Cricetulus griseus: one gene and its partners. The protein of the gene in region 5 purifies or fractionates together with the protein of the main gene of each other region. This does not show direct contact. Links are inferred from orthologs where the notes say so. Each region holds a gene or a part of one and is shown on either strand. Other genes may lie near its edges. The genes, in order: Cdca5, Plk1, Wapl, Sf3b3, Smc1a, Pds5b and Usp13.

What was found.
Region 1: the proteins of Smc1a (region 5) and Cdca5 purify together in Homo sapiens (affinity purification with mass spectrometry; 7 studies listed by BioGRID and IntAct, counting the BioPlex papers as one, with this or other methods). This does not show direct contact. The link is inferred for Cricetulus griseus from reciprocal best matches to the Homo sapiens genes SMC1A and CDCA5.
Region 2: the proteins of Smc1a (region 5) and Plk1 purify together in Homo sapiens (affinity purification with mass spectrometry; 3 studies listed by BioGRID and IntAct, with this or other methods). This does not show direct contact. The link is inferred for Cricetulus griseus from reciprocal best matches to the Homo sapiens genes SMC1A and PLK1.
Region 3: the proteins of Smc1a (region 5) and Wapl purify together in Homo sapiens (affinity purification with mass spectrometry; 7 studies listed by BioGRID and IntAct, with this or other methods). This does not show direct contact. The link is inferred for Cricetulus griseus from reciprocal best matches to the Homo sapiens genes SMC1A and WAPL.
Region 4: the proteins of Smc1a (region 5) and Sf3b3 fractionate together in Homo sapiens (co-fractionation; 3 studies listed by BioGRID, with this or other methods). This does not show direct contact. The link is inferred for Cricetulus griseus from reciprocal best matches to the Homo sapiens genes SMC1A and SF3B3.
Region 6: the proteins of Smc1a (region 5) and Pds5b purify together in Homo sapiens (affinity purification with western blotting; 8 studies listed by BioGRID and IntAct, with this or other methods). This does not show direct contact. The link is inferred for Cricetulus griseus from reciprocal best matches to the Homo sapiens genes SMC1A and PDS5B.
Region 7: the proteins of Smc1a (region 5) and Usp13 purify together in Homo sapiens (affinity purification with mass spectrometry; 5 studies listed by BioGRID and IntAct, with this or other methods). This does not show direct contact. The link is inferred for Cricetulus griseus from reciprocal best matches to the Homo sapiens genes SMC1A and USP13.

What each region holds. Positions count from the first base shown.
Region 1 is NC_048596.1:53,258,509-53,261,961, forward strand, and holds the end of Cdca5 (sororin), read right to left. Parts: intron 2,401-3,453; coding exon 1,975-2,400; intron 1,809-1,974; coding exon 1,728-1,808; 3' UTR 933-1,727; coding exon of another isoform or gene 903-932; 3' UTR 703-902; downstream 1-702. UniProt on the Homo sapiens protein: Regulator of sister chromatid cohesion in mitosis stabilizing cohesin complex association with chromatin. May antagonize the action of WAPL which stimulates cohesin dissociation from chromatin.
Region 2 is NC_048596.1:78,505,684-78,510,402, forward strand, and holds the start of Plk1 (serine/threonine-protein kinase PLK1), read right to left. Parts: upstream 3,065-4,719; 5' UTR 2,975-3,064; coding exon 2,573-2,974; intron 1,828-2,572; coding exon 1,659-1,827; intron 1,030-1,658; coding exon 885-1,029; intron 207-884; coding exon 113-206; intron 1-112. UniProt on the Homo sapiens protein: Serine/threonine-protein kinase that performs several important functions throughout M phase of the cell cycle, including the regulation of centrosome maturation and spindle assembly, the removal of cohesins from chromosome arms, the inactivation of anaphase-promoting complex/cyclosome (APC/C) inhibitors, and the regulation of mitotic exit and cytokinesis.
Region 3 is NW_023276807.1:184,662,208-184,666,135, forward strand, and holds part of Wapl (wings apart-like protein homolog), read right to left. Parts: intron 1,052-3,928; coding exon 933-1,051; intron 1-932. UniProt on the Homo sapiens protein: Regulator of sister chromatid cohesion in mitosis which negatively regulates cohesin association with chromatin. Involved in both sister chromatid cohesion during interphase and sister-chromatid resolution during early stages of mitosis.
Region 4 is NC_048596.1:187,212,260-187,216,187, forward strand, and holds part of Sf3b3 (splicing factor 3B subunit 3), read right to left. Parts: intron 3,157-3,928; coding exon 3,034-3,156; intron 2,143-3,033; coding exon 1,988-2,142; intron 1,374-1,987; coding exon 1,199-1,373; intron 143-1,198; coding exon 1-142. UniProt on the Homo sapiens protein: Component of the 17S U2 SnRNP complex of the spliceosome, a large ribonucleoprotein complex that removes introns from transcribed pre-mRNAs.
Region 5 is NC_048604.1:107,483,201-107,487,694, forward strand, and holds the start of Smc1a (structural maintenance of chromosomes protein 1A), read right to left. Parts: upstream 3,194-4,494; coding exon 3,085-3,193; intron 3,005-3,084; exon of another isoform or gene 2,861-3,004; intron 1-2,860. UniProt on the Homo sapiens protein: Involved in chromosome cohesion during cell cycle and in DNA repair. Central component of cohesin complex. The cohesin complex is required for the cohesion of sister chromatids after DNA replication.
Region 6 is NC_048597.1:86,593,000-86,596,927, reverse strand, and holds part of Pds5b (sister chromatid cohesion protein PDS5 homolog B), read right to left. Parts: intron 2,353-3,928; coding exon 2,247-2,352; intron 1-2,246. UniProt on the Homo sapiens protein: Regulator of sister chromatid cohesion in mitosis which may stabilize cohesin complex association with chromatin. May couple sister chromatid cohesion during mitosis to DNA replication.
Region 7 is NW_023276806.1:116,475,145-116,479,072, forward strand, and holds part of Usp13 (ubiquitin carboxyl-terminal hydrolase 13), read right to left. Parts: intron 3,498-3,928; coding exon 3,375-3,497; intron 2,846-3,374; coding exon 2,819-2,845; intron 2,059-2,818; coding exon 1,915-2,058; intron 1-1,914. UniProt on the Homo sapiens protein: Deubiquitinase that mediates deubiquitination of target proteins such as BECN1, MITF, SKP2 and USP10 and is involved in various processes such as autophagy, endoplasmic reticulum-associated degradation (ERAD), cell cycle progression or DNA damage response.

The DNA of each region.
Region 1 (3,453 bases), on a different chromosome or scaffold from region 5:
TGGCCAATATCTTTTAAATTACAATAACACAGATACACTGCAAGAATGTAACAGGATGGTGTGGGCAAAGGAGATGACTCAGTGGGTAAAGTGCTTGCTATGCAAGCATAGAGATCTGAGTTCAGGTCTCTAGCACAAACATAAAAGCCAATGTGGCAATATTATCTGCCTAGAACCAGGGAAAGGGTGAGATAGGCAGATCTGGGTCTTGTTGGCCAGTTGAGCTGAGATGATATTCTAGGTTCAGGAAGGGCTCTGGAGGAAATTTAAAAGCCTAAATTTCAGCAGAGGATGAGCTGGGACGCTCACATCTGCACAACAGGCCAAGGAATCACATCTTTGATCTGCTTCTCAGGGGTGCCCAAACTAGGAAACCCTAGTTTGGAGGCACAAGGCATCAGCTGCTGGGTGGCATCTAGGAACAGCTATTATACCTGAGCCACTGGCTCCTATGATGGATGGAGCCTTAGGAAAAGAGGGAGAGGGATGAAGTGTAGTCAATTCCATAAACCTCCCCTGGGACAGGGGGGCTTGGGCCTTCATTTCAGGAAACCCTAGTTTGGAGGCACAAGGCATCAGTCATTGGAGGGAGGCCAGGTTGGCAAATTTTAAGAGGAACAGCCCTGGTGACACAGTCCAATGACATGGCATCCAGGGCTTCACACCAGTGGCTCTGTCTTTGACCAAATAAAAAGCAGTCTATAAACAAAACTCTTTAAAAGTTTATTTGACATCAAACCTTTCCCCTGGGCTGTACATTAGTTCCTCAAAGACAGACGGGTCTGTAGTGATGGCAGCAATCAGAAGGTCCAGCTCACGGTCCACAGGGACCAGTGAGGACAAATTCTTCAGATGTGCTCCGCTCAAAACCATCCTGGTGTACAGGTGCTTGCTTGCAACTCTCATTCCATGCAGCTTCTTCTCCAATGAACCTGCATATGTTGGAAGTCCAATGCCCTTTGAAACCATATCTTCTACTATCATCCAGAGGAGATGGTAGGCAGGAAGCACTTCCGCAGAGACCATGAGACATCTACTTTTGTTCCCAGCAACCCCCACCCCCGGGAATGGTCTCGTGTGAAAGTGTAATAGTCAAGCTCACAGCAAAAGCTGTCATCAGTGCTACAGCTGTATGGCTCCTGAGAAAAAAGCCACATCCCAGAGCCAAGACTGTGCAGTTCATTTTGAAAGAAACAGATGTGGGTGAGGAAAGGGTGACCAGAGACCACAAATCTCAAGTTGGTGGCATCTGGAGCCCATACCATGAAGTATACTTACTTTGCCCTAGACATCAGTACCTCATTCACCAATGTGTCAACAGCAGAACACAGACATGAACAGCTCCTACTTAACAGTCACTCGTGTTAAAAAAACAAACAAAAAAAACTATGACTACCTCCTTCTTTCACATCCCAGACTCCATATTCAGATTTCCTCAAGAGTTTAACTGTCTCTAGCCTGTGAGCTCCCTATCAGACTCTAGGACTCCAAGCCACCAACAGAGGGCAACACCAGAGAGATAACCCACGATGAACTTGTTTCTGACAGTGCAGGATTGTAACAGAATTAGCTTCTCATCCCCAATACTGTGAAGAAAGTCCAGGGTAACTAGCCACAATATAACAAGGGGCCAGCTACACCTTTCTGGGTAACAAGTCCTGCTCTACTCAAAAGTCAATATGTACAGGGAGAGGGGAGAGCCTAGCCAGGTGTACCCCCACTTTATCTCATTCAATCAGAAGATCAAACTGTTCAGCAGCTTCAAACTCAGCATTCATGGCCTTAGCCCACTCATCCAGCTCCGATTTCTGGTAGAAAGAAATGAGGGCATTTGAGTGGGGAAGCGGCCACATTGCCCAGAGAATGTTACTTATCCACACCTCAGGAATTGCCTTCCCTCAAAACCTGGAGTCCTGCCCCCCTCCCCCCAACCAATACGGTGCATCTGTGGGAGAGACCCCGCCCCTTACTCACTAGGATCTCCGGCACCTTCTTCCTTCGCTTCTCTTTCATGACTGGAGGAGAGATTCCAGGAAGCGTTGTGTCTGGAATCAAGGGCTTCGAAGATACTTTGGGGATCTCAATTAACTTTGAACTCACGACAGGTGAGACTTGGGGCAAGTCTTCAAGTCCCTCAAAGCCAAAGAAGGATCGGCGGCCAGGGGTGGAGGTTGAGGCAGCATTGAGCCTCTCAAGCCGACTGTATGATCGCCTGACTTTCTGGGACATTTCCAAGTCTCTGGTGTCCAGTTCTCTTTCCTCAGAGTTAGACTCAACATTCTGAGTATACAGCACTGGGGTGCTGGTGGGGGTACCAGGGACACTACAGGTCTTGAAGAGGTCCTCCTTTGTGGGTACCTTGAGAGGAGGGTTGTTTTCTTTTTCCAAGATAAAAGAGATCTGTATCAGGACAGGCGAGAGAACTCTTGTCAGCTCGGGGATTCAGGATGGAAAGACTGCCCACAAAGCACAGGATTTCTACGTTTCTTGTGTATTTTATGGTTGACCTTGTGCATGCTAGACAAACACTGTGCTGAGGAGTTCCATCCCCAGTCCAGGACAGATTTTAAGCAACAAACAGTCATAGAGCACATGCCCAGAAATGCATAAGCCCTGGGTTCTACCTCCACTGTTGGAAAGAAAAAAAGAGATAATCACTACTGTTTTGGAGAAGCTGACTTAGGACAAGATTCACTACATTTGCTGCCACCCTCAAATGTACCTGGCATATAGCAACAATTTGCTACTTGACATAAAGTTCCAGCATACCTAAACTGGCTTGACAGCCTCCTAATTGTTTTGCCTGCTTCCAGGGTCATCTGCCATATAGCTTCTAAAGATTTTTATAAGATGTTCATTTGACCAATAAATATCTATTAGTGACCTGTCCCACACCAGGGAATGTTCTGGGCACCGGGAATATATCAGGGAAAACTTAAAACAAAACAAAACACTGGCACCTCAGCACTTTCACTGTGGCACTGAAAACATGAGGAAAACTTGGGTGGGGGTGGGTTAAAAAGCAGAACAAGCTGGGCGGTGGTGGCCAACGCCTATGATCCCAGTACTCGGGAGGCAGAGGCAGGCAGATCTCTGTGAGTTCAAGACCAGCCTGGTCCACAAGAGCTAGTTCCAGGACAGCCTCCAAAGACACAGAGAAACCGTCTCAAAAAACCAAAAAAAAAAAGGTTCTTTTGGGACTGGAGAGATAGCTAAGAGAGCACTGACTGCTCTTCCAGAGGTCCTGAGTTCAATTCCCAGCAACCACATGGTAGCTCACAACCATCCGTTATGAGATCTGGTGCCCTCTGCTGGTGTGCAGATATACATGGAGGCAGAATGTTATATACATAAATAAAAAAAAAAAAAAAAAAAAAGCAAGGCAGAACAAGGTGAGTGGTTGTAGTGCATGCCTTTAATCCCAGCACCCGGGAGGCAGAGGCAGGTGGATCT
Region 2 (4,719 bases), on a different chromosome or scaffold from region 5:
TGGCTATACTAGAGGCAGGGCTGACTCATCTTTGTCCCCAGGATATAGTTGGGCTCAGTGATCAGATTTTGGGTGGAACATAAAATAAATTAAAGCATTATGGTGCCATTACCTTGGGAATGCTGTATTCATTTTTCTTGATCCGGAGGTAGGTCTCTTTTAGGCATGAGGTCTCAAAAGGTGGCTTGCCCACTAGCAAGGTGTACCTGGAGGCACAAGGAAGGATTTTGCTCAAATTCCCAGAAAAGTCCAAATGCAGAAGTCATTGTCTAGAGGAAGGGAGCTGGGCTGGATTCACTGACTCAGAACGGATGAGGCTGATCTCCAAGTCTGCTCAGTCTCATAGAAGCCAATGGCTGGGATAAGCCCTCAGAAGAATGCAGGTGACAACACTGAATACCAAGCGCTAGAGATTCCCCAGCTCTGGCCTGCAGTAATAGAGGACTCCTCAAGAACCGCAGAGGCCACTGCTATCTGCCACAGGCACAAGCACCATGATGGAGCTTCTGCCTACCATGAACCTTTCTGCTGATCTGATTCTCCCATCAGCACTCATCAGTGTTTCCAAAGCTTTACTGAAAGTCAGCCAGGGATTTTATTAGACCCAGGTCCAGAACTGAGATTTCCACATCCTAACAAACCCTCAGAGGTATTGATGGTTTGGGTTAGTGCATGCTTTTAGTAAGCAGCAAGGAGCTGGAGGAAGAAGTGTAGACACATTTGGTCCCTTCCCTGGACCATAAGTCCAAGCTACAGGAATGCTATAGATTGATAAATAAGGAAAAGGGGCTTCATGTGGGATCCAGAGGGAAAGGTCAACTGGATGAAATGCCTCAGAAAATCCTGTTGAGACCCAATAGCTCCTGAGTCCATTCCCAACTTACATGATACACCCAATGGACCACACATCCACCTCAAAACTGTGTCCCTTCTTGCTCAGCACCTCGGGAGCTATGTAGTTAGGAGTGCCACATAAGGTCTTCTTTCGTTCACCTTCATATTCCACTTTGGTTGCCAGCCCAAAGTCCCCTGGGACAGAGGGAAGAAGAGAGGTGATTAGCTGCTAGGCCATCTTGTGGCTGCAGACAACTGCCTCAGGACTGACCATAGAGAGCCAGTGCCTCAAGACTCCAGTCTCTGTTCCCGAACCTTCCCACTGCCCTTTACACTCCTCTTTAGATAGCAGGGCTAGGGAAGTAAGATGGCTCAGTAGGTACAGGTGCTTGCCGCTAAGACTAACAACTTGAGTTGACCCTGGAACCCACAATGGAAGAACAGAACTGACTCCAGAAAGTTACCTTCTATCTCGAACCCCACATATATGAAATTTAAAATACATAGGATAGCAGAATTGGATGCACTAGGGAATCAAGTAAATATTCTTTGTGACTGTGACAAGTTTAAGAAAAGTGACAGGAGTATAGGGACTGAGGCAAATCAGAGTCTCAAGGGAAAAGGTGCTTTTCAGCTCAGTAAAGGGACAGCAAAACACTGGCCTGTGGGACACTTACTTTCCATTTCTGGACAAGAAGGCTTTCTGGAGGGCAGCACCTCCATTTCCCACCCACCTTCCACTTCTCTGGCTCCCATTCTCCCAGAGTTCCCCTCCTTGCCACCTCTTGTACTGGCACCAGACACCCGCAGGCCCAGCACCTCACCTATTTTCACCTCCAGATCCTCGTTCAGGAAGAGGTTGCCTAGCTTGAGGTCCCTGTGAATGACCTGATTTCGGTGCAGATACTGGCAGCCCAGGACTATCTGACGTAGATAGTAGCGTGCCTCGGGCTCGGTCAGCGCTTTCCTCCTCTTGTGCAGTTCCAGGAGAGACTGAGGAAGAGGGAAGAAGGTAGTTAAGCCCAAGGAAAAGGGTGGCCAGCTGGATGTGGCCAAGATTAAACCCTCGGGAGTAAAGTATAGACGGAAGTTTCCTATCCCGACCAGCCGATTCCAAATAACTACTCTGAGGCTTATATTAATTATAAATGCTCGGCCTATAGTACAGGCTTAGCTAACTCTTCCACTTATTAACCCATAATTCTTATGTCTTGGCAGGCTCCTAATGGTTCTGTCCATACACTGGTCAGGCCATTATCATTCACAGGACCCCTCTCCTGTTAACGAGTACCCTTACCCAGCGTCTTCTCTCAACCCCTTATTTAGGGGCTTCCTCCCAGCAGGAGACCCTCTCCTTTTCCTGAAAGCTGAGGTCTGACTCCAGACAGCCTCTCCTCCCTCCCCCACTCCAGACCCTGCCCCACTCCACTCCGGAAGTTCTAGGTCCGCGGCAGCCGTAGCTTGGGACCCTTGTTAATCACTTTAAACACCCATTTCCTGCACCTACTGGCAGTCTTGCGTGCAGGAGCCACCTTCCCTAATAATAGCAACAGGTCCCGGGTTCCGCTTGCCCTCAACCCCCGGCCTCAGCAGCTCGGAATGCCAAACACCCTCACCAGGAGCCCCTTCATAATTGCTTGAAACCCAAGCACTCCTCTAGGCCACTCCAAGGCGTCGATGCCTCTTTGCCAGCAAGTTCCCGGTGTGGTCGCCCCAACACCACAGCAGAAACACTCACCCTCCTGCGACAGAGCTCCAAAACCACAAACACAAAGTCGCTGTCCTCAAAAAAGCCGTGGAAGCCTACGACGTGTTGGTGTGCGAGGCTGCGGTGGATAGAAATCTCCATAGACATCTTTTCCTTTTGGTGGGGCTTGAGAAGTAAAGACTTCGGCACGATCTTGCCTGCGAACACCTCCTTTGTGTCTGCATCCGAGATCTCGAAGCATTTGGCAAATCCTCCTTTACCCAGAAAGCGGCCCCGCACATACTGGCGCCGGCTGCGTGGGTCCACTAAGACCTCAGGAATCTCTTTCGACAGCGGGGCGGTCACTGGGGCACCGGTAGCTGCATCTCCAGGAACCCCAGCTTTCCCGAGATCGGCTGGTGCTCGAGCCAGCTTTTTGGCCGCTGCATTCATGCTCCTAAATTTGCTACGCGAACCTGGCCGGGCCGGTGCAGAGATCTTGCCCTGCTCCGCTCCTCCCCGAATTCAAACGCAGCGCTGGGAACGTTACAAGGACCTGCGCGTTGTTGATTGGCCGCGGGGATTTAAAATACAAACCCGCCCAGCGCGCGGCACCATGGGAGTGCTCTACGGCGCAGCCGCTTTTAAACCCCCGATCTTGTGAGGAGAAACTTGATGGGCTGGGACTTAAGGATTAAATGCACGTGGGATACCCTGGGAAACTAGGAGCGGATGGAATACGCGGAAATACCCAGGGGACAGAATTCGGTCCGGCTTTCTGCTCCTCGGCCAGAGAATGCTCCTGTGGTTCATGCCCCTCCTCCAGAGGCTTCTCCAGTTAGGACCTAACTAACACCTTCCTCCACTCCTCCTGGCCTTCTAGATCTGAAACTCCAGGCCTAGAGGTAGCTTGGCAGTGCACCGCCTTCGCCCTCGACTGCCGTCTCCCTGGCTAGTCTATATAAACCCAAACCTGAACAAACCCAGCATGTCTGGCAGGCAAAAGGAAGCTCTGTGGCAACCACTCCCGGAGCCCGAATTGAAAGGAGCTCTAGACTTCTCCAGTAAAACCCAGGGGTCAGCAGTATCTGCAACACCCAGGAACTCCTTAAGAAGGAGCGTGGGTTCAAGATTGCAAGTTAGCCTAAGGCCAGCCTCAGCTACCAGGCAACATTCCTTCCCCCCTACCCTCGAAGGAAAGAAACCGCCCAGGTCTGACCTGCAGGTCAAACAAGACTGTCAGGTGATTCCTACACAAGGTGATCCTAGAACTCGGGAGGCAGAGGCAGGCAGATCTCTGTGAGTTTGAGATCAGCCTAGTCTACAAGAGATAGTTCCAGGACAGTCTCCAAAGCCACAGAGAAACCCTGTCTCGAAAAACCCAAAAAAGAAAAGAAAAAAAGAAAAGCATCAGCTCTCTCCCCCCTCTCGCTGCGTTTGAATTCGGGGAGGAGAGGAGCAGAGCAAGATCTCTGCACCGGCCCGGCCAGGTTCGCGGAGCAAATTTAGGAGCATGAATGCAAGGTTACCTGGCTTGTCCTAAGTTGCTCCAAATAGAGAAAACTAGTTTTTTTAGTCAGAGGGAGGGATGGCTGGTTGGAGAGTGCTAGCAAAGTAGCAGGGCCAAATCTGCCCAGCAGGGGTGTTTGTTGGCCTTCATTTAAAAAAAAAAAAAAAAAAATTTACAACACTTAAAAGGAATGGCCACACAGTGCAGGTGAGTGACTTTCCTAAAAAAGTCAACTCTGGCCGCCGTTCTCCAGGCACTCCCTTTGCCTACTTGCCCGTCTGACTTCTGTGGAAACTCTGAACACACCAGGTAGGTGCTTGGCACTGAGTCAACTGCTTTTGCCACCCTGGACATGGGGACAAAGGCATATAAGATGGACTTTGCACCCAGATAACAGCTGGCTTTTGATGCAGCTCAGCCAATTTTCTGGTGTGCAGCACTAGGCAAATTTACTCAACTTCTCTGATAATTAGTTTCCTCCTCTGTAAAATGGGTTGTGAAAATCCCTACTTTATTGACAATTGAGAGGATTAAATATTTTCTGCTGAGTGTCTGCCATTCCACAGGTGCAAAATATGAATGATTCCCCCATCATCTCTTTTGTGGCAGTCTGATTATAAAGATTAAGATCTGCTTGATCTTATTTTAAGTCTAAAATTGTCAGAATGCTGTGCTTTTTTAACTCCAG
Region 3 (3,928 bases), on a different chromosome or scaffold from region 5:
GAGTTCGAGTCCAGCCTGGTCTACAAGAGCTAGTTCCAGGACAGCCTCTAAAAGCCACAGAGAAACCCTGTCTCGAAAAAACCAAAAAACAAAATCAAAAATTGGCAAGGAGGGGGGGCAACACGAAGAACTGGGAAAATACTTGCAAACTATGTATCTAATATGGAATTTCTTTTTAATTAAATTTTACCACTTTATTATACAAAACATTGCAAATTAAAAAAAAAAAAATCAAACACCTAACATAGGCCCAAAGATTAACTCACTGAACTTCTCTTCTTTACAGAATAGCTTAGAAATTCAGTCCTTCGTCATTCCCTAACATTTAGCAATACTTGTTCTCTTTCCTACATGTTATACTGTGCTCACATGTACATTTATTTATATACATATGTATGTATATATGTGTGTACATATATTTTTTAATGGCTAGACTTCAAATGTAAGAACACTTTTTTTGAGATTGTATGGACTCATCTAATATCACATATTCTAATCTAAGTCCATTTTCCTGCTAATTTTTATTAATTTTTCTTTACAGCTTAATAGTATTCTCTCTCTCTCTCTCTCTCTCTCTCTCTCTCTCTCTCTCTCTCTCTCTCTCTCTCATACACACACACACACACACACACGCATGCTCGTCCATTCATCTGTCACTGTGGGGATGGGCTTTGAGGTCTCATACGTGTTCAAACGACGCAGTGTCTCAGATCACTTCCTGTTTCCTGTGCAAGATGTGGAACTCTCAGCTTCCTTTCCAGCACCATTTTCTGCCTGTGCGCCGCCATGACCCACCATGATGATAATGAACTGAACCTCTGAACTGCAAGCTAGCCCCAATTAAATGTTGTCATGTGTCTCTTCACAGCATTAGAAACCCTAAATAAGACATGAGTCCTCTAATGATAAATAAATAATAGTGCTTTACTTACCCGTTTGGGGCCACTAAAAATCTTTCTGGTATTTTCCTTGGATTTATCGCCTTGTTTATTTATGGGCTTCTTCACACTCTCAGGCACACCAGGCAAGTCCTCTGTAAAATCCAAGTTTTCTGAAACGGTAATCAAAACTAGCTAGCTTTCCAGTATTTCAAGTTATCAGAAAACTTAAGGCCATTTTTTAAACATAATATTGGGGTTAGGGTGAGAAATGAATGAAAGATTAAAAGCAGCAACAGCTGAAAAGCTACTCTAATCCTCACCTTCTACTTCAAAACCTGGCTGTTAAACATGTGTTCTAGTTTTATTTTGTGTTAACATAAAACAAAACAAAAACAAATATTTTCTCTTTTACTGAGAATGGCTCTTTGTAGCTAGCGCCCATAGTGGCCTGGAATTCACTAAATATCCCTAATTGGCTCAAACTCATGGCAATCCCTCTGCTTCAGCTGCCCAAATACTGAAATTACAGTCATGCATCACTATGTCTGGCTTTAAATTTTTTCCAAAATAAAATTTGAACTTCATAGATCATGTAACTACCAGATACATATGAGTGCTAGATATATAATTTATATCAAACTCATAAATATCAAATGATACCTAAGTTTCACATATTTCTAGATTTTTTTTGTTGTTATTGTTTTTCGAGACAGGGTTTCTCTGTGTAGCTTTGGAGCCTATCCTGGCACTCGCTCTAGAGACCAGGCTAGCCTCAAACTCACAGAGATCTGCCTGCCTCTGCCTCCCGAGTACTGGGATTAAAGGCGTGCGCCACCAACGCCCGGCTATTTCTAGATTTTAAGTTCATGAAATCATGTTAACTTAAAAGAATACTTGTTGGAAGCCAGCTAAGCAGAGCTGATGTAGCAGAGCTAGACTCCAAACCCAGGTGGTCTGGTGTCAACACTGCATGCTTCCAGTACTCACTGAATGCATTTGTGCTGGGTGGGGATATAGAATGCTTTGATGCAAGATAAGTAATTTGGTGTGGCTCTCAAAAGTCAAAGACACTGTTCAAACTGTAAGAGGCTGCTGGCTTCTATAAAGATAATCATTTCTTAAAAAATTTTAGATGAATATTATGTATATGAGTGTTTTGCCTACATGTATGCCTACACATACCTGCCTGGGAACTTGCAGAAATGTTCATGTAAACTTCATTTCTCAAAGTTAGTCTATTTTTCACATTTCAGAATTGAAGTCCTATTATTACAACATGTAACAGATTTTAAATTGCAGATGAGAAGAATAACTTACTATACAAATTGAGCCTAAAAGTCAAATAAACTGCAGCAGGACAAGAGTGTAGGTACTGCACAGCATTATGACCAGATCTCAAGTGTCTAGTGAGGCTGCTGCAAACTGCAATCTTCCAGAAGAGGCTGATGATAACACTAGATAAATGTTAACTATACTTTCTTAGGGAACTGAAGAGGCTCTAGAAGTTCCTGCTTTAATTCCAGTTAAAACCAAGGATGAATCTTATCTGGGCTGAGAGTGTAACTCAGTCATAGAGCATGTTTCCCCTGTACAAATCACCCCCAAAACCATGCAAACTACTTTTAGACCCAAAAATGCTAAGTAGCAGGTAGTGTCAAGTATGATATACTCTATTTGGGAATCTAAATTCACAAATACTATGGAAATTCTAATTCACCACAATTACAAATGTCTACAACTTTAGCAGGACAAAAAATTTTTTAAACAATTAAACCAATATAGCAAAGCTGTATTTGGTTGAAAAGACCTTTTATTTCACAAATTCTTCCTCACATAAGTGAATCCTCTACACATCACCCTTTTCAAGTAAAGCTTTAATTATAGCAAAGCTACCTATATATATATATATATATATATATATATATATATATAGAGAGAGAGAGAGAGAGAGAGAGAGAGAGAGAGATTCAACTCCTAAGAGAATCTTATCATTGAGCCTACAGTCTTAAGAGACAAATTTTCATTATTAAAAGAGAATTCTTACCCAGTACTTTACAATCTATTTTGTTTTTGTTTTTCCCAGACAGGATTTTTCTGTGTAGCTCTGCTGTCCTGAAACTTACTCTGTAGACCAGGCTGGCCTAAAACTCAGAGATCCACCTGCCCAGCATACCTTTTGATCTTATGAGACTACAATTTAAGAGGGTTTGAGAATGTTTCAAAAAAAAAAAAAAATTTTTTTTCTTTTTTAGTTTTGTGCTACTTACAAAGGGTTTAATTAATTTGAGTATTTCCCTCATAAAACCATCTCTTATCAGTACAGTTCTAATTATCCAAAATCCTTATGTCTCCATTGCATTTGGATTTTCAAAGCTAAAACAAGATATTTGGTATCTCTGTCCCAACAGTTTAAAATTCTCATATAAATTCACAGGTGCTGGCCTGAAGGCAAGGATGTAATTATATCACTAGACCCAAGAAAAATGAAAAATGGGTGTTTATTGGGGACAATTACACAGAAAAATACAAAGAACCACCAGAGCGTTTCTCTGCTCTTCCTACTGATCCACTGACCCAACAGAAGGAGCAAGCAATGAAAAGCCACACCTCAGGCTCCTCTCTTTCTGCTTAGGTTCGCCTGAAGCCACACCCAAAGGTCCAAAGACCAAATGCCTACACTGGCCTAAGGCTGTATATTTCAGTGGCAGACCTTATTATGTGTGAGGCCCTGGTTTGGAATCCAATCTGAAACCAAAAACCTTAAAGGCTAGTCACTGATTTAAAGCTTCGAGACTCCCAGTCTTTCATAATTTAAGACCTAAAAATTTACATGAAAGTTTTATACCTCTGAGGCAATAGATGGGTTCTAAATAGATGCTTCTACTAATATTATAGCAAACTATGGCTAGAGAAATGTCTCAGTGGTTGGGAGAATTTGCTGCTCTCCCAAAGGATCGGAGTTGTTTTCAGCACCCAGGTCAGACAGCTTACAACTCTAATTCCAGCTCTAGGGGACTTACTGCCTCTGGCCTCAGAGGGTACTTGTA
Region 4 (3,928 bases), on a different chromosome or scaffold from region 5:
TCACCCGAATCACAGAGGCCCACTGACCATTGCCAGCCTTTGGAGCTCCAAAAATAGATTCAGGGAGGTTTTCATTAAGGAATGCTGCTGCCATTTCTGCAGCCAACTCCCGCTCATCCTCTCCTGCTGCTTCCACCATTTCCTAAATCCAGAAAGCAAGAAGAGGTAAAAAAGGAAAAGCAGTAAAAAAAAGTCTATCACCTAAGACCAGGATCCCCCAAACAGAGGTTCAACTCCACCAGCAGAGGCACTGTTGGCCTACAATCTGAGTTAGATCCTCAGCTTCTACAAAAGGTGCAGAACACCATATTCATGTCTGCATTCAACCACTCAAACACACAATTAAAAAAGTCAAGGAAAAATGCACAAATAAGGAGATCATTAAATGGGAAAATCAAATACCAGTAGTTACATCTGAGCAGAAAATGCCAAAAAGAACATTAACTGTGGCAAATTATCTGCATTTCTGAAAACTCAGAAATGCCTTCCTGCTTTCCCTAGCCAAACCAGTTATCTCCTCTCTTTCCAACTGGATATGGTTTCCACACAGCTGGTTATTTAATAGTTTCTAGACGAGGTGGTGCTGTAGAGGAAATAACGACATCTGTGCTCAAATTCAGGCATCATATAACACAGCATCTTCTGGAGGCTTAAGAGCTAGAGAGCAGTTCCACACTGGGAGCTAAATTCTGAGTAACCCAGGATAGCATATTTGTCCTCGGTCACAGAAAGTTCCCAAAAGCAAATAAAATAGTAAAAAACTTCCCTTAAAGGTCCTGGTTTATGGTTTTCGCTTTAGGGTCCCCCAAAACTTTATCTCTTATTTTGTAGCCCTAGGAATTCCCTGCACCCACATGTCAGATCACATCTGTCTGTAACTCAGTTCCAGAGAATCTGACACCCTCAAACCAATGCACACAAAATAATTAAAAAATAAACAACAAATATTGCAGATGTGTTTGCTAGTGCACAAATAATGCCAGCACTTGAGAAGTTGGGGAGAAGGATCACCCAGAGTTCCAAGTGAGCCAGAGTTATGGTCTGAGACCCTATCTCCAGACAGGGAGGGAGGGAGGAAGGGAGGGAGGGTGTGCGTGTGTGCGCAAGACAATTAGAGATGTTTAAAATTTCAACTTTCCTAAACCATTTCATAGGCAGGCTTTTTTAAAACTGCACCTTTGGAGGACAGAGTAATTACCTCTGCCATCTGCTGCTTTCTCTGAGCTTTTGTAGCCTCAGTGTAGGCATTGTGGTCTGTCTCAATGATGATAAGATTGTTACTCTCAGGGTGAATGACAAATTTCCTGGGTGTGTACTGCAATGGAAAGGCTACTTGATTGAAGACAGCACCAAGTTTCTCCAATGCCAAAATCCTATAGGAATAGACAAGGGAGTTAAATAAGTTACCACCCAGCCTAAGAACTGATGAGATGAACCATGACCAGCCACAGCAAACAACTGTTGAGGCTCTAACAATGACATTAGACAGCATGAGATAAAAGCTCTGTGCTTAAAAGACTTCATGACAACGAAGAAAAAAGAAAATACCAAAATACACTTGGCAAAGGTAGGCTGATCTCTGAGTTTGCGGCCAGCTTGTCTACAGAACTAGTTCCATAACAGCTGAGGCTACACAGAGAAACCCTGTCTGGAAAATCCAACAAATTAATTAATTAAGATTTAATTCTGTTAAGAGATTTAACACTTGCTCTAAAACCAATCCAGTAACACGACCATTTCACCAGGAAACAGAAAGACTATAGTGTAATAAGTTTTAAAACTTGGCTCCAAAAAGTCTAAACAGAAGCTAAATGCCAAGCATTGAAACTTGGCTCACAGGTTCTGAAATCCTGTTTCAAGTGCAACACCCTTTCCTGGAAAAGAGGCAGCTGTCAGCCATCATTGTATAAACTCCAACTCTGGCAGAACCACAGGCAGAATGCTTGGCAGAAAGGCTTCCTGCTGGGCTCCAAACATGTTTTCTCACCTCAAGGTGTTGGTGGAGATGGCAACAATGCCTTCAGGACACTGTTCAGAGGCGAAGCCAGATGCAAACTCCAGAGTCTCATAAGATAGAGGGGTGAGATGGAAACGGGATTGGTAAGAGTAGCTTAACCACGAGCGACTGGACATGGCCAAAACCTGGAGAGGAAAGAGCCCTAATCAGAGTGGGAAAAGCTCAAACATTGTATATTGACCAAACATATAACCCCAACAGCAGACTCTAATTTTAGAAACCTACAAAGCCAGCAAAGGGAGCCCAAAGAAGAGAGAGCACAAGGCTTATTGTATAGAAAAATCAAAAACATCAAACTATATCAATCATAATTCTCTGGAGTATAAATGAGAGATTTTAGGCTGGATGTTGGTGGTGCATGCCTTTAATCCCAGCACTCGGGAGGCAGAGGCAGGTGGATCTCTGTGAGTTTGAGGCCAGCCTGGTCTCCAGAGCGAGGGCCAGGATAGGTTCCAAAGCTATACAGAGAAACCTTGTCACGAAAAAACCAAAAGAGAGAGAGAGAGAGAGAGAGATTCTATTACAAGGCTGGACAGTTGTAGAATTAAATAGGGTAACTACAAAGACAAGGCTCTTTCTTATTAGGCAGGAGAGTCACAATTTGACTATAATCCTGCCTTGAATGGAAGGAGTCCAGTTTTTCCCATCCCTGATAGCCCAGACTAAAGAAAAGACTCAAAGGTTCAATACTGAAACCTCCAATAGCCTCATAAAGTCACAGTGCCATGTCATGGAATACCCCTTAGAAAACTCTAGATTAAGTCAGGCAGTGGCGATGTATGCCTTTAGTTCCAACAGTGGGGAAGCAGAGGCAGGCAGATCTCTGTGAGTTCAAGGCCATCCTGGTCTATAAGATCTAGTTCCAGGACAGCCAGGACTACACAAAGAAATCGTCTGAAACCCCCCAAAGAACCCAGGATTTCCCAATCAAGACAGAGATAATATCAAAACATCTACAAATGAATTAGTCAAAAAGTTTATTGGCACCAATATCCAAATGTCTTTTTATTACTTACAGCCTCCTGGCCTTGCATCCGGACTCGGAAGAGTTTCACAGGACGGGACCCCAGATACCTAGTTCGAGTGTCAGACAGGTCCCCAGTGACAGGGTCTAGAACAGTTCTCAGCAGCACACCATTCTAATCAAAAAGATATGAACAGGTAAAGCCTACTTATGATGGAAACTTTTCAATTATGAGATTTTTCCTTGGCTACTTTAACAGACAATTGAAGGATGTAACTTATTGGTAAAAGTATAACTACCTTATTGGTAAAAATATAACACAAATCATATAACACCCCAATAATCAACAGTTCATTCATTCTCTCAGTTACTAAGCATCTAAGTAAAAACTACTTCTCACTATACATACATGTATATGCATCCTGTATATCAAAATTTGTGTTTGTTAAATTATTTTCATAATTTAAAAACAGACCCACAGCTAAAAATCAATATTTACTGACTATGGTATCTCTAAGTATCATTTCCACAAAAAGGAACAAGGTTTTTAGGGATGACAGATTCAAGGATGAAGCAAGAATGTTTATGATGCAAACAGAATCCACCAGTGCAAGAAGGCAGCAATATAGTGGAGTCAAATAGACTAACTTCAAGGGGAATCTCTATCAGCTAAAGGATGACTGTTATGGCCCTAACTCCTTATCTGTAAAATTAGTGACTAAAGAAGGGGATGGGGAAGAGAGCCATTATCCTTTTCCTGTATAAACTATGTTTATAACAAAGGACTAAACCTCATTTTGTCTTACAGAGACTGGATTACAAATATTTCCAGACTTCACAAGCTTCCTAATGGGATGCAACCAGAGTGAACAGTAGCACTTTTAACTACTCTTTCCCTTACTCAAAACAGTTATGAATGAATGTCATCTACTTCTCTTTTCGTTTTT
Region 5 (4,494 bases):
AAGTACCAGGTTCTCAAACTTTTAAAATTACCAAAATTATATCATTAGTACACTATTTTTATATGGAGCTTCTTTCAAATATCCAATTTGTGTGTATGTGCATGCATATGGAGGCTAGAGGTTGATGGTGGGTGTCTTTTTTTAAATAACTGTTGAACTTATTTTTTTGAAACAGGATCTCTCTTGGCCTAGAAGCTCACTAACTGAGCTATAATAGCTGGCCAGCAAGTCCCAGGTATCCTCCAGTCTCCACCTCTCCAGTTCTGGATTATGAGTATATACCACCACACACAGCTTGCTTGCTTGCTTTTTTTTTTTGTTTTTGTAGACCAGGCTGGTCTTGAACTCACAGAGATCCACCTGCCTCTGCCTCCTAGGTGCTGGGATTAAAGGCATGTGCCGCCACCACCACCTGGCTCACACCCAGCTTTCTAAGTGGGTACTGAGAATTCAAACTCAGGTCCTCATACTTGTGTGGCAAGCAGTTTACAGACTGGGCCATCTCCACAGCCTTCTCTTTCATCTGACAGCATCCTGAACTCTTTTTAATACTTGTTAAAATACCAAGGCAGAATCAGCTATTTTCTTAAAAATACTACATCACATGATTCATGCAACTTTGTGATTCATGTTCACATTAATTACCCAATTTAGCTTATCCAAAAGTCTTAGGAAATAGGCATTTCCTCTACTTTAAAGAGGAAGAAACCTAGTCATTCCTCAAGTTAAACTGTCAGTGAGTTCTTTACTTCAACTGACAGGGTGATAAAAACAGTCTCCCTACAACATCCAGCTCCAAGATCCTTGCTCATTTGTCCTTCATTCTGTTACTGTTTGTTAAACACCTTAAAAACATAAACCTTGTGAGGCTGGGGATGTGACCCTGCTGAGTGTGTGCCTATCTAGCATGTACAAGGCCTTCAGATCAAACCCAAACACTGTATTACACCAGGTGGAAGTGAACACCTGTAATTCCAGCACTCTGGAGATGGAGGCAGGAAGATAAGAAGGCCATCCTTGAAGTAAGTAAGAATTTAAGACCAGTCTGAAATGAGATCCTATCTCAACAAATGAACAATAAAAAACCAAGATCAACCTGGCGTTCAACAATCAGCAGATCCGCAGGGTGGTGGTACACACCTTCAATCCCAGCACTTAGAAGGCACAAACAAGTGGATCTCTGTGAGTTCGAGGCCAGCCTGGTCTACAGATCAGTTCCAGGACAGCCAGGGCTGTTACACAGAGAAACCGTGCCATGGGTGGATGGAAGGACAGATGTATTGTTATACAGTCTAGATTCAACCACACTTCCAGTTACAGCAGAACTAGCACATAAGTTGGAATTCATCTTTCAAGTATCAATTTCCAACCTTTGAGCTTCTTCCTTGATTTTTTCAAGGATAACACCTTACAACTACAAGCCTTTTTACTCAATTCTTCAGTGTTGTAAACATTTTTTCTAATGTGCTTCGTGAACACTAACAAAGTCTCACTAACAAAACATCTCAAGAAATGGCTTCTTGAGGACACTCATACACTAGTGATGAAGATACAGACACAGGTACTATAAATTTGTGACAGAAAATAGTCTATGCTGGCACATGCCTTTGACCCCAGCACTCAGGAGGCAGAGGCAGGTGGATCTCTGTGAGTCCAAGGCCAGCCTGATCTATCTACACAGTGAGTTCCAGGACAGGCTCCAAAGCTACACAGAGAAACCATGCCTCAAAACACCAAAAAGAAAGGGAGGAGGAAGGGGAAGGAAGGAAGGGAGGGAGGGAGGGAGGGAGGGAAATTTCCGTCTGTGTGCCAGAGAGAAAGAGCAATTTATAAAGTGGGAACCAAGGGTTCAAGGGATGCTTCACAGAGCCAAACTTTGAAAGATATGCAGAAGGAAGATGTGGTAGAATATACTCACTTGGGGAGGGGAAATTTGAAACCATAAGGAAATTTGAAATTTGAAACCATAAGATATGGTCTCAAAAAAAAAAAATAATAGAGAGGGTAAGGACTCGGGCCAAGGGCCTTTTAAAAACAGCTGGATTGCCAGGCATTGGTGGCGCATGCCTTTAATCCTAGCACTCGGAGGCAGAGGCAGGTGGATCTCTGTGAGTTCAAGGCCAGCCTGGTCTCCAGAGCGAGTGCCAGGATAGGCTCCAAAGCTACACAGAGAAACCCTGTCTCGGGGAAAAAAAAAAAAAAAAGATGTTGCGATAGCAGGCTTAAGTCTGGAAAAGTAGGCTTACCTACTACCAAAGTCAATTTAAGCTATCAACTTTAACCCCTTTTTTTCAGAGCATTTAAAACGGCCTGAATATTATATTTTGTACTTTAACTTCTTTCTCCTCTAAATAAGTTTCCTGGGATCACGGACTTGACTTATTTTCCGCATAAACTTAACCGATAAAACCGGAAGCACTCAACAAATTTGGCAAACAAACAAGTTCAGGCTCATTAGGGCTTCCTGGTAGGAAAGCGGCAAATCAAGGCAACATCTCTTAGGTGTGTAGGGGCGAGAAACGGAATCCCACTCTGCTGGGAGAAGTGTTGTGTCTAAAATCCCAAAAGTGTCACAGCTGCACACAGGGAAAAACGAGCGTTCCAGTGAGAGTCGCGTTTGCGGAGTGGGGCTGGCTAAAGCAGAAAGTATACTATTTGGGACCGAATGCCAAGGCAGAGACAACATTCCCAAAATTTCCCAAATGTGTCGAACTTGAGACCAGGAACCTGGTACAACGCAGAGCAGAAAGGAGCCACAGGCCAAACAACTGTCAGCAAGTTCCAGGAAAGCGTGTTTTGGCGGGAGGGGTTGTGGGCGAGGCAACCCATAGTCCCGCCCATACCATTCTGCCCAGAGAGGGGGTTTGCACAAGACTCGGCCACCTGACATTTGGGAAGGGGCTCGAGTTAAGCATATGGCAGAAGCGGGAGAGAGTTCGAGTCGAATCCCCCCTCAAGGAGAGCAAGGAACATATTAGGGTTCAAGCGTCTCAGGTTGCACGGGGTAGGTTGTACTATTCTGGAGATGGACAGGGGGACCGGATCGCGACGCCAGCAGGGCCGCAGCCGGATTTATCATCTCACCAGAGCCATTGGGTCCAATGATGGCGGTGAACCTCTGAAATGGTCCGATAATCTGTCGACCCTTGTACGATTTAAAGTTCTCGATCTCAATCAGCTTCAAGAACCCCATGGCAGCGGCGCTACCGTAGGCGAGGCCGCAGATTACTCCTGGGAACCGAGGTTAGCCCGCGCGGGAAATACCGCGGTGCAAGCCGGGTGTACGGTAAACCTCGCGATAATAAGTACAAGCCAATGAGGATTTCCGGGGCCAGAGGCCAGTCACTTCCGGCTCGTGCGTGGGTGTTTTGACCCCGCCCCCCTTTGTCGTTGCTCTGCAACAGTCAAAGCGGTAACGGACTGAACTGGGGAAGCTTTAGTCCCCAGAAGGACTACTATCGCTTTGGGAGAGAATCAGAAGGCAGGCGGGGCCTGAGCCCACGCTTGCTGAGACAGAAGTCACAGCAAGGTTATGCCCTCCCCGTTGCTAAGGACTAGTAGGAGGCGGTGGTTTGTAGTCTGGGCTGTCTAGGGCTCCAGTCGGAAATTAGAAGGCACCCTGGGAGGGGTGGGCAGTTTGGACTAGAAGGGCGGATCTTAGGGAGGACTTGAGTGAGGTAAGATTGGAGTGTGAAGGAGGATGAGGACACTCCTAGACTCCTTGACAACGGAAATAGAAGTTGGGGAAAGTTGTGTTCTGAGATACTGCCCTTATCGCCTGCTTCTCTCTTATTTCCCAAAGCGGAATTCAAAGGCTGCCATGTAAATCCTAGAGCCAACTTGGACCCAATCCACTTACGAGCTTGAAAATTAGAATTCTGTACTGAGAAAGGTGTCTTGTGTGAACACCAGGGGTCCAAGTCCTTAAGCCAGTGCTCCAGTTTGTCCTTTTCCCCTTTCTCCTTACTACGTGTTTCTCCCCAATCCCATTCCGCCTGCATCATATGTCTATGGCACTGTACCTTCATCCCCATCTTTCTCTTCACTCTCATCTCCTTTGTCTACCTCCCTCATTGGCTTCTCCGTTCCCCTCCTCTCTCTCTCTCTCTCTCTTTTTTCGAGACAGGGTTTCTCTGTGGCTTTGGAGGCTGTCCTGGAACTAGCTCTTATAGACCAGGCTGGTCTCAAAAGAACTCACAGAGATCCGCCTGCCTCTGCCTCCCGAATGCTGGGATTAAAGGCGTGCGCCACCAACGCCCGGCCCTCCTCTCTCTTCTTAATACCCTGCCCTTATCCATTCATTGCTCATTTCCAGCCTTCATCCTTTCATCCACCTTCTATTATCTTATGCCTGCTCATTACTAAGTGATGCTCTTAGCAACCCTGAGGCTTCCCTTTAGTGGCCTTATAGTATGGCAACAGTTTGAATTTATAGGCTAGTGCCATTTTCAGAAGGTGGTCTCCACAGCTATTCCTGTAACTTTTTTTTCCAGA
Region 6 (3,928 bases), on a different chromosome or scaffold from region 5:
CCAGAATGGGTAACATGGGACTGTTTCAAAAATAATAGCCCCAGGTGGTGGTGGTATTCTTGGTATTTCTTTTGTCTGGATTGTTTTCTGGGAAACCTCATACTTTTACTTATATTCATCTACTCTTTTAAATATATTTACCCTTTATTTTCTTGTTGGTATAGTCTGAGTTTGTGCCGCTCATGTGTTGAAACCTTTATATCCCAATGAGAGAGGAGGCCTTTGGGGGATAATCTGATGGAGGTGAGTAAAGAAGATAGAATCCCCACTTCCTTGTAGGAACTTAATTTCTAACATTACAGACTCTTTGCCCACCCTAGGAAAAAGTGTCTAGGGGCTGCAGCAGCAGTACACTGGCCACAGATAAACACACCTGCGTCTTGTTGGGCTGGTGCCAGTTATACTGTCCCCTTTTAATGTCCACTAATTTTTCCACATTAGAAAAAAATCACCGAAGTTTTACTACATATTCAGCTAGGAGAAAACTATCACCATTTCAACTTTTTTTTTTTTTTTCTCACAGAAGAACACATAAGTCTCTTGGTTTTGAGCTCTCCCACACAAGTGCCAACTACTCTGTTTAAGGGTCTGTCTGAGACTGTATACCCACCCTATCTTTCAGTACGACAGAAGTTACTGTGATGAACAGGACCCATCTGAAGTGTAGTAAAATGCAGAGTGATGCTAGTACTGTGCACGAACACATATACATGGGCATGTTTCCCTTCTTTCTGTATCTTCCTTTCGAGTGCTGGGGAATCAAACTTGGGGCGTTGTATAGGACAGCTGAGCATAAACCACACCCCTGGCCCTTGGTTGTTTGTGTGTGTGTGTTTGACATGGGCAAGTGTGCCTGTGACAGCCTCCTTGTGGCATTCAGGGTGGCCTGGAGCTTACTATAAAGCCAAGATTGGCCTCAAATTTCAAACACTCTTGTTTCTGCTACCAAAAAAAAAAAAAAAGAAATCATGAACTAGTCAATTACTCCATTTTTAAGCATGATTACAATAAAGATTTTCTTGATTAACTAGGACAGAAATAAAAAAATATAAATATTTTTACTAACTTAAAAAAATGATCTTCTAGAAACCTTGCAATAAGACTCCTTTCTTTTATAGATCCTACATTTCTCTAACTTTTAGTTTTTAATTCTACTTGGGTAAAACTTTTAAAAGTGTGTAAGAGTGTTTTGCCTGCACGAATATCTGGTGCCTGTGGAGGTCAGAAGAGGACTTTGGATGCCCTGGTACTAGAGTTAAAGACAGTGCTGAGAGTCAAACTTGGTACCTCTGAAAGAACAGCCAACTACTGTTAACTGCTAAGCCAGCCCGCTGGGTCAAACTTTTAACACTAGTTGACAGTATAGCTAATAAGGATTTAGCAAAAATTTTAATTATAAAACAATTGGCTAGATAAATTGAAGAAACTTGAAAATAATGGAAATATGTCAGTGGGAGACAAAAAGGGCAAATAAAATTCCAAAGAAAGCAAAAAAAATTATTTTATTAATAACTCCTGCCTCTGCTTCTGAATTAGAGTCAGACATACTTGTTATATGGTAACTATTGCTCAACGGCATAAATCATTTTAACAATGAGACAGCATCAACAATTTATTTGGGCTAATTCATTTATTCAATTAATGAATAATAATTCATTATTATTATTAGGCTGAAAGCATAAACTATCCAGTTTATAGACAAGAAAACAGACTCAGAAAGCTCAGTCAGCTACTCCAGAAATGTTCACAGCTCAACTGGGGAGTCCACATGGCCCAGTTACCAAATCTGCTGGGCTGGATTGGAGTATGAATTCCGTTTCTCATTGAAATATCACCAAATCTGTCTGTCTTCGAGTAACATTTACAAATTATAGTCACTTCTACTAATATATTAAAACTTAACAAGGGCTTTTCTAAAAGAAGAAGGTAGACTTTGGGACCTACATTCCACTCTTTTCCTAAGGCCATGACTAAAATACTGGGTTTAAAAAGAAAAAGGAAAGCAAATAGTTCTGAATATGGAACTAACATGTTTGACTCTAAAGACAAAGAATTAGATTATTTTATTTATCTGAAGACAAGAATCACATAAACTCCAACTAAACTATAATATCAAATTTGAAACTAAAGTCACAAAAAGTATATCACATGCCACATTTGACTGCGATTTTAATATCTAGCTAAAGAGCAAAAATGACTAAAACTATTACTATTAACAGCATCACACAGTCAACCAAGCATCTCACCCTTACAAGATCAGAGTCGTCTCTCTTGTCACTTTTTTTGCCTGGCAAAGGTGAAGACATTGTGTAATCTTCATTTTCACTGTGATCCATTTCAGAGCTATCAAGCCTTTGAACAGAGATATCTGCAATTACTTCTACAATCAAATAACCTGAAAAGCCTTTTTTGATTGCTTCATTGCATAGCATTATAACTTCATAAGCAAGGACTTCATTCATTTTAAAGATAATTTTTCCTATCATATTTAGCACCAAATCAGTAAGCAATGTAGCTCATTTAATAAATTAAGGAAATAAATAATAAATTCATTTTACCACATGATGTTTTGAAAACTAGATTCCATTTTGAAGCAGAAGCATGGAAAGTAAAACCTGTTGTTAGTATGTTCAGCTTAGCACATGCAGCTTAGCCCTGGCCTGCCCTTCCTTGCCCTCGTCTTTACTTCTCTCTGTAGCAATAGCATGCAAAGTAATTACATGTCTTACTTGACTTCTTCTTCCCCTTAACACCATAAGCACTGATTTTTGACCATTTCACTTAGTGTGTAAACTTGTGCAGAGCTCAAAGGAGGCACTTAAGAGACTTGCTGAATGAAGTAAAACACATGCTCTCGTAAGCTTAGAAAGTTCTAGTCTTCTGCATCATCCTTTGCTTATCCCAGTACTCAGGAGGCGTAGGCAGGTGGATCTCTGTGAGTTCAAGGCCAGCCTGGCCTACAGAGTGAGTTCCAGGACACGCTCCAAAGCTACACAGCGAAACCCTGTCTCAAAACAAACCTATTTGTTTACAAACTGCTGAACTCAAATCTCAAGCTCTAATAAGAAGGTACAACTTTACAAAAAAAAAAAAAAAAAAATCCTTGTTAAAACTACTTTTTAAACAAACAACAAAGTTTATACATAGATAGTAAAACTTCAAACATAAAATACACACCCCATGTCAAGTTATTATGAGCATTATTAAGATGCTCTATGTTTTCTCAAAAAGTTCCTAATGAATGCAAATGAATGTGATTAGGAAGTCATTCCAAAGTAAAGGCCCTGCAACACTGCTCTATGACCTCTATCAGAGTGCAAATTTAATGGGACAGGGTTTCTCTGTATTGCTTTGGAGGTTGTCCAACCTCCAAACCCTAACCCTAACAAAACACTTTTCATTTACTGTGCATATGCATTCAAGCACTGCAACACGTGTGGAGAACAGAGGACACCCCAAGGAAGTTGGTTCTCCCCTTCTACCAGGTTAGTCCCAGGGACCAAACTCAGATTATCAGTCCTGATAGAAAGTGCCTTTACACACTGAGCCAATACTCTGGCCCCTGAATTTTAAGTGTATTCGTGATTTGCCTGCATGTATGTCTATAGATTACATGTATGCAGCACCTGCAGAGGCCAGAAAAGGGTGTCAGATCCCCCCAAAACTGGTGTTACAGATGGCTGTGAGCAGCTATGGGATGCTGGGAACCAAACCTGGGTCAAATGGAAGAGTGGCCAGTGCTCTTATCTGCTCAGCCACCCCTCCAGCCCCTGATCTCATTATTTTTAATGATTCAGATATTGCAGTGTATGAATGAACCATAAGTGAACAACTAACTGTATAAGTGGTAAACACGAGGTCAAATATTTACTGTGTGTATTAACAGAGATTACCCCAGGAAGATTACATATGAAAAACTAAGCGTCTA
Region 7 (3,928 bases), on a different chromosome or scaffold from region 5:
GACAGGTGATTTCCAAGCAGACTTTTCAGCAGGGAAAGACATGGCTATTTGCATACAAAACCATAAAGACAGAGGTTCCTCCTCATGTAACACAAAATCAACTCAAGCTGGATCATTGTCTTAAACACAGGAACTAAAAGTATTAATTTTAAAAATTAATTAAAATAATTTTAATTTTTTTTAATTAAAAGAGAAAACACAAGATTCAGTCTTTGTAACATTGGGTTAAGCAATGATCCCTTGTATATGACACAGAAAGTAGAATTCATAAAACAAAGTAGATGTATCATACCTCATCAAAATTGAAAAACTGTCTACTTGAAAGACATCATCAAAGAAGTGAAGACATAGAACAGAAAAATATCTCTGCAAATTATGTGTCTGACAACACTTAGGAGGCAGAGGCAGGTGGATCTCTGTGAATTTGAGGCCACCTTGGTCTACAGAGCGAGTGACAGGATAGGCTCCAAAGCTACACAGAGAAACCTGTCTTGAAAAACCAAAAAAGAAAAAAAAAATGTGTCTGAGAGGAAACCTGTATCTAAAATTTAAAAAGAACTCTTAGAACTTAACAATAAAAGGCAAAGAACTAATTATACCCACAGTGTTATTAGTCAGTAGGGAAATACCTCTTGAAATCACAGTGACCACCATGGTACACCCAGAAGCCACTATAACAAAACTGCTAATGGTGAGAATTCAGAGAAATTGAATCCTTCATTCATCATGGGTAAGAGTATGAAATGGTTCAGCCACTGGGTAAAATTGACAATTTTTAAAAAGTTAAATATAGAACTACATCAATTCTGCTCAAGAGAAACAAAATCATAAATCTATATATGCACAAAAGTTTATGTTTACAGCCCCATTAATAAACACCAAAGAGCAGAAAAAACCCAAATGACTGTCATCCTCTGATAAAAGGGCAGACTGTGGTATGGCTATACATGGAACACTACATGGCCATAAAAGGGAAGTGCTGTTCATGCTACAGCATAAGACCCCTAAATACATTATGAAAAGCGGTAGAAACCTGACACAAAAGGCCTCATGTTGTACAATTCCATTCATATGAATTATCAAAAATAGGCAAATTCATAACAATTGTAGGGTACCCAGAAAGTAGATTAGTGAAGATTAAGCACTGGAGAGAGTAAGAACATGGGAGAGGCAGTGTCTTAATTAGGGTTTCTATTGCTATGAAGAGACACCATGACCTCAGCAACTCTTATAAAGAGAACATTTAATTGGGGTGGCTTGCTTATAGTTCCAGGGATTCGGTCCATTATCATCATGGTGGAACATGGAGGCAATCAGGCAGACACAGTACCAGAACTGAAAGTGCTGTATCTTACAGGCAACAGAAGTAGACTGAGCCACTGGGCAGCTTCCTGAGCATAGGAAACCTCAGAGCCCACCCAGATAGTGACATACTTCCACCAACAAAGCCACACCTTCTAATAGTGCCACTCCCTATGAGATTATGGGGGCCAATTACAATCAAACCACCAAGATACCTCCTATCTAGCATTTCTTTTGTTATACAAAAATATTCTAGAATTAGACAGTTGCTTAATTGTAAAGTGACTAAAATCCATGTGAATGTACACTTCTGATAGGTGGATATATAAATGACATCTTCAGAAAGTAGACAAAAGAAGAAGCTGAGGAAAGGGCCTCCATTTCTTCAGTTTTCTATTTCAAGCTTAAAATAAACACCACATCTTTCTAATGATCTTTTGGTCAACGAAGTGTGGACACCTTTAAGGAGGAAGTTATTCCAAGAAAGCTGTTGTTTAAGAGATTAAGATTGTGACTTTGCCCAAACAGTAGCATGTTACCATCTGAAAACTCATCTTTGGGGACACATCCTTGGGGACATGAACTCCAAAGTACTCCCATATGGCCACCTACCAGGTTCCTCCATGTGCACGATAATCCAGTTGAAGGCCACCTCAGCTCCAGTGTTTCCAGTGAAGTACACAGCCTTCCGGCAGGCTTCCAAAGGAAAGCCCATCTCAGCCAGCTGCATCACGGAGGATTCATCAATGTCTGAGGCTACAGAGCACAGCAGGATATCCCACCATGAAAAACAGAATTTTCCACTTCCTCCTGTCTTCATTACTCTTCAACCCCTTATCTAATCTACAGACTACCTGAAGACAGATCCATTTTGTTGGGTCTTAATTTGACTTCTTTTTATGTCATCTAACTATTGAGCTATTCATGAGAAAAAAAATGGTATTATTACCTCAGTTTACAAATGAGGTAATTGAGGCCTATAGAATAAGAAACAAATTGTTCCAGGCCACACAGTCCTAAGCAGCAAAACCCCACAGGACTGCAAGCTTTCAAGCCTACACTAATCCTCCTGAGCAATAAGGGATACTTAAGCAGCATTTCATTGGTCTACATTTGTTGCTTACTCAACTTACAGACAGTTCCACCCAGGAACAACCACATATATCCAGGACAGAACAATGCTACTTTGCTGAACTACTACTTAAAAAAAAAAAAAAAAGTTACACTATGAGCTGAAGAGATGGCTCAGAAGTTAAGAGCACTTACTACTCTTCCAGAGGCCCCAGGTTTTTTCTGTTCCTAGCACTCATATGGTGGCTCACAACCCTCTCTAACCCTAGTTTCAGGGAATCTGACACCCTTTTCTGGCCTCTGTGGGCATCAGGCATTCACATGGTACACAGACATGCACACAGGCAAGACACCCATATGTATAAATAAAAATGAACAAATCTTTAAAACATATCATACTAGCAACAACTGTAAGACACCAAAAAACACTTTTAAAGATACCTACGGTCTATCAACTGGTTCATCAGGCGATCTGGAAATGAAAGAACAGATGATAAATAAGAGCTAGCCACCACCAATAGTTTTAGAAAAAAGAAACTGCATCAGTCCAGGATATTCCCAGACCCTCTCACTCCTGGTTACCCCACACACACTACCTGCAAAACAGTTCATTAATTACAGTAATGAGGGGAAACAGCAGATTTTGGGCAAATAAAACAAGAAGTTTTGACATCTCAGTGAGATAAATAATTTCAATCCTTGCATTTATTTCCAAGAGCAAGGTTTCTGGCCTGGACATGATTTATAGGGGAAGTATGAAAAGCCATCCTGGCTTCCCTACTGCTCACCACTACCTGTCTGTAAGCCCTTTCAGGAGCCTCTGCCACCAGGGCCCAAATCAATGACTCATAGTGTATGAGTCTGAAGTATACAGTTGCAGCCATGCTTCATTCCTATGTGTCTAGGTCAAAGACAGGGAGCAGTTTAATGGTGAAACAGTAACTCCTCCTGGCTGGAAGAGGGTGGTAAGGAAAGAGTATCCTTCCAGTAGGAAATGGTACCTTTTGAGTCATCAGGAATGACTATAGGGGGACTGATGTCTGGAAGCTCCTCTTCTCCTGGCTGTAAGCCCCTGGCTCTAAGATGGCTGATATCTAGTAGGTCTGGCATATCAATAGAAACATCTGCAAAACAAAAGATTATATTCACTGGACTCTCTAGAGCCCAAATCAGCTCATTATAAATCTGCATGTGTTCACTGCATGCATGTATCTTGGCAGCCTAAGGGACACAGAGCACAGCAGATTTGTCAAGCCACATGAAAGTTAATGGAGGGCTCAGGGAAAGGGCAGAGAGTGGTGGGACAAAGGCATCACACTGGACAGCAATAGGTCAGATAAGCCAGTGTTCACAGACTAGCAACCAGGCTATCTGTGGTCTGGACTCATTCCATTTTGTGTTTCTTAAAATATGGACATGATTTAAATTTAAAATTTAGACTTCTGGATTTCAAAAACCATGAAGCTGCAGCACATTCTCCCATGTAAACAGTCTGGGTTTCCCTTTAACTTCTATTTTGGACAATGGTGGCCTCTGTGACCATTTCACACTGACC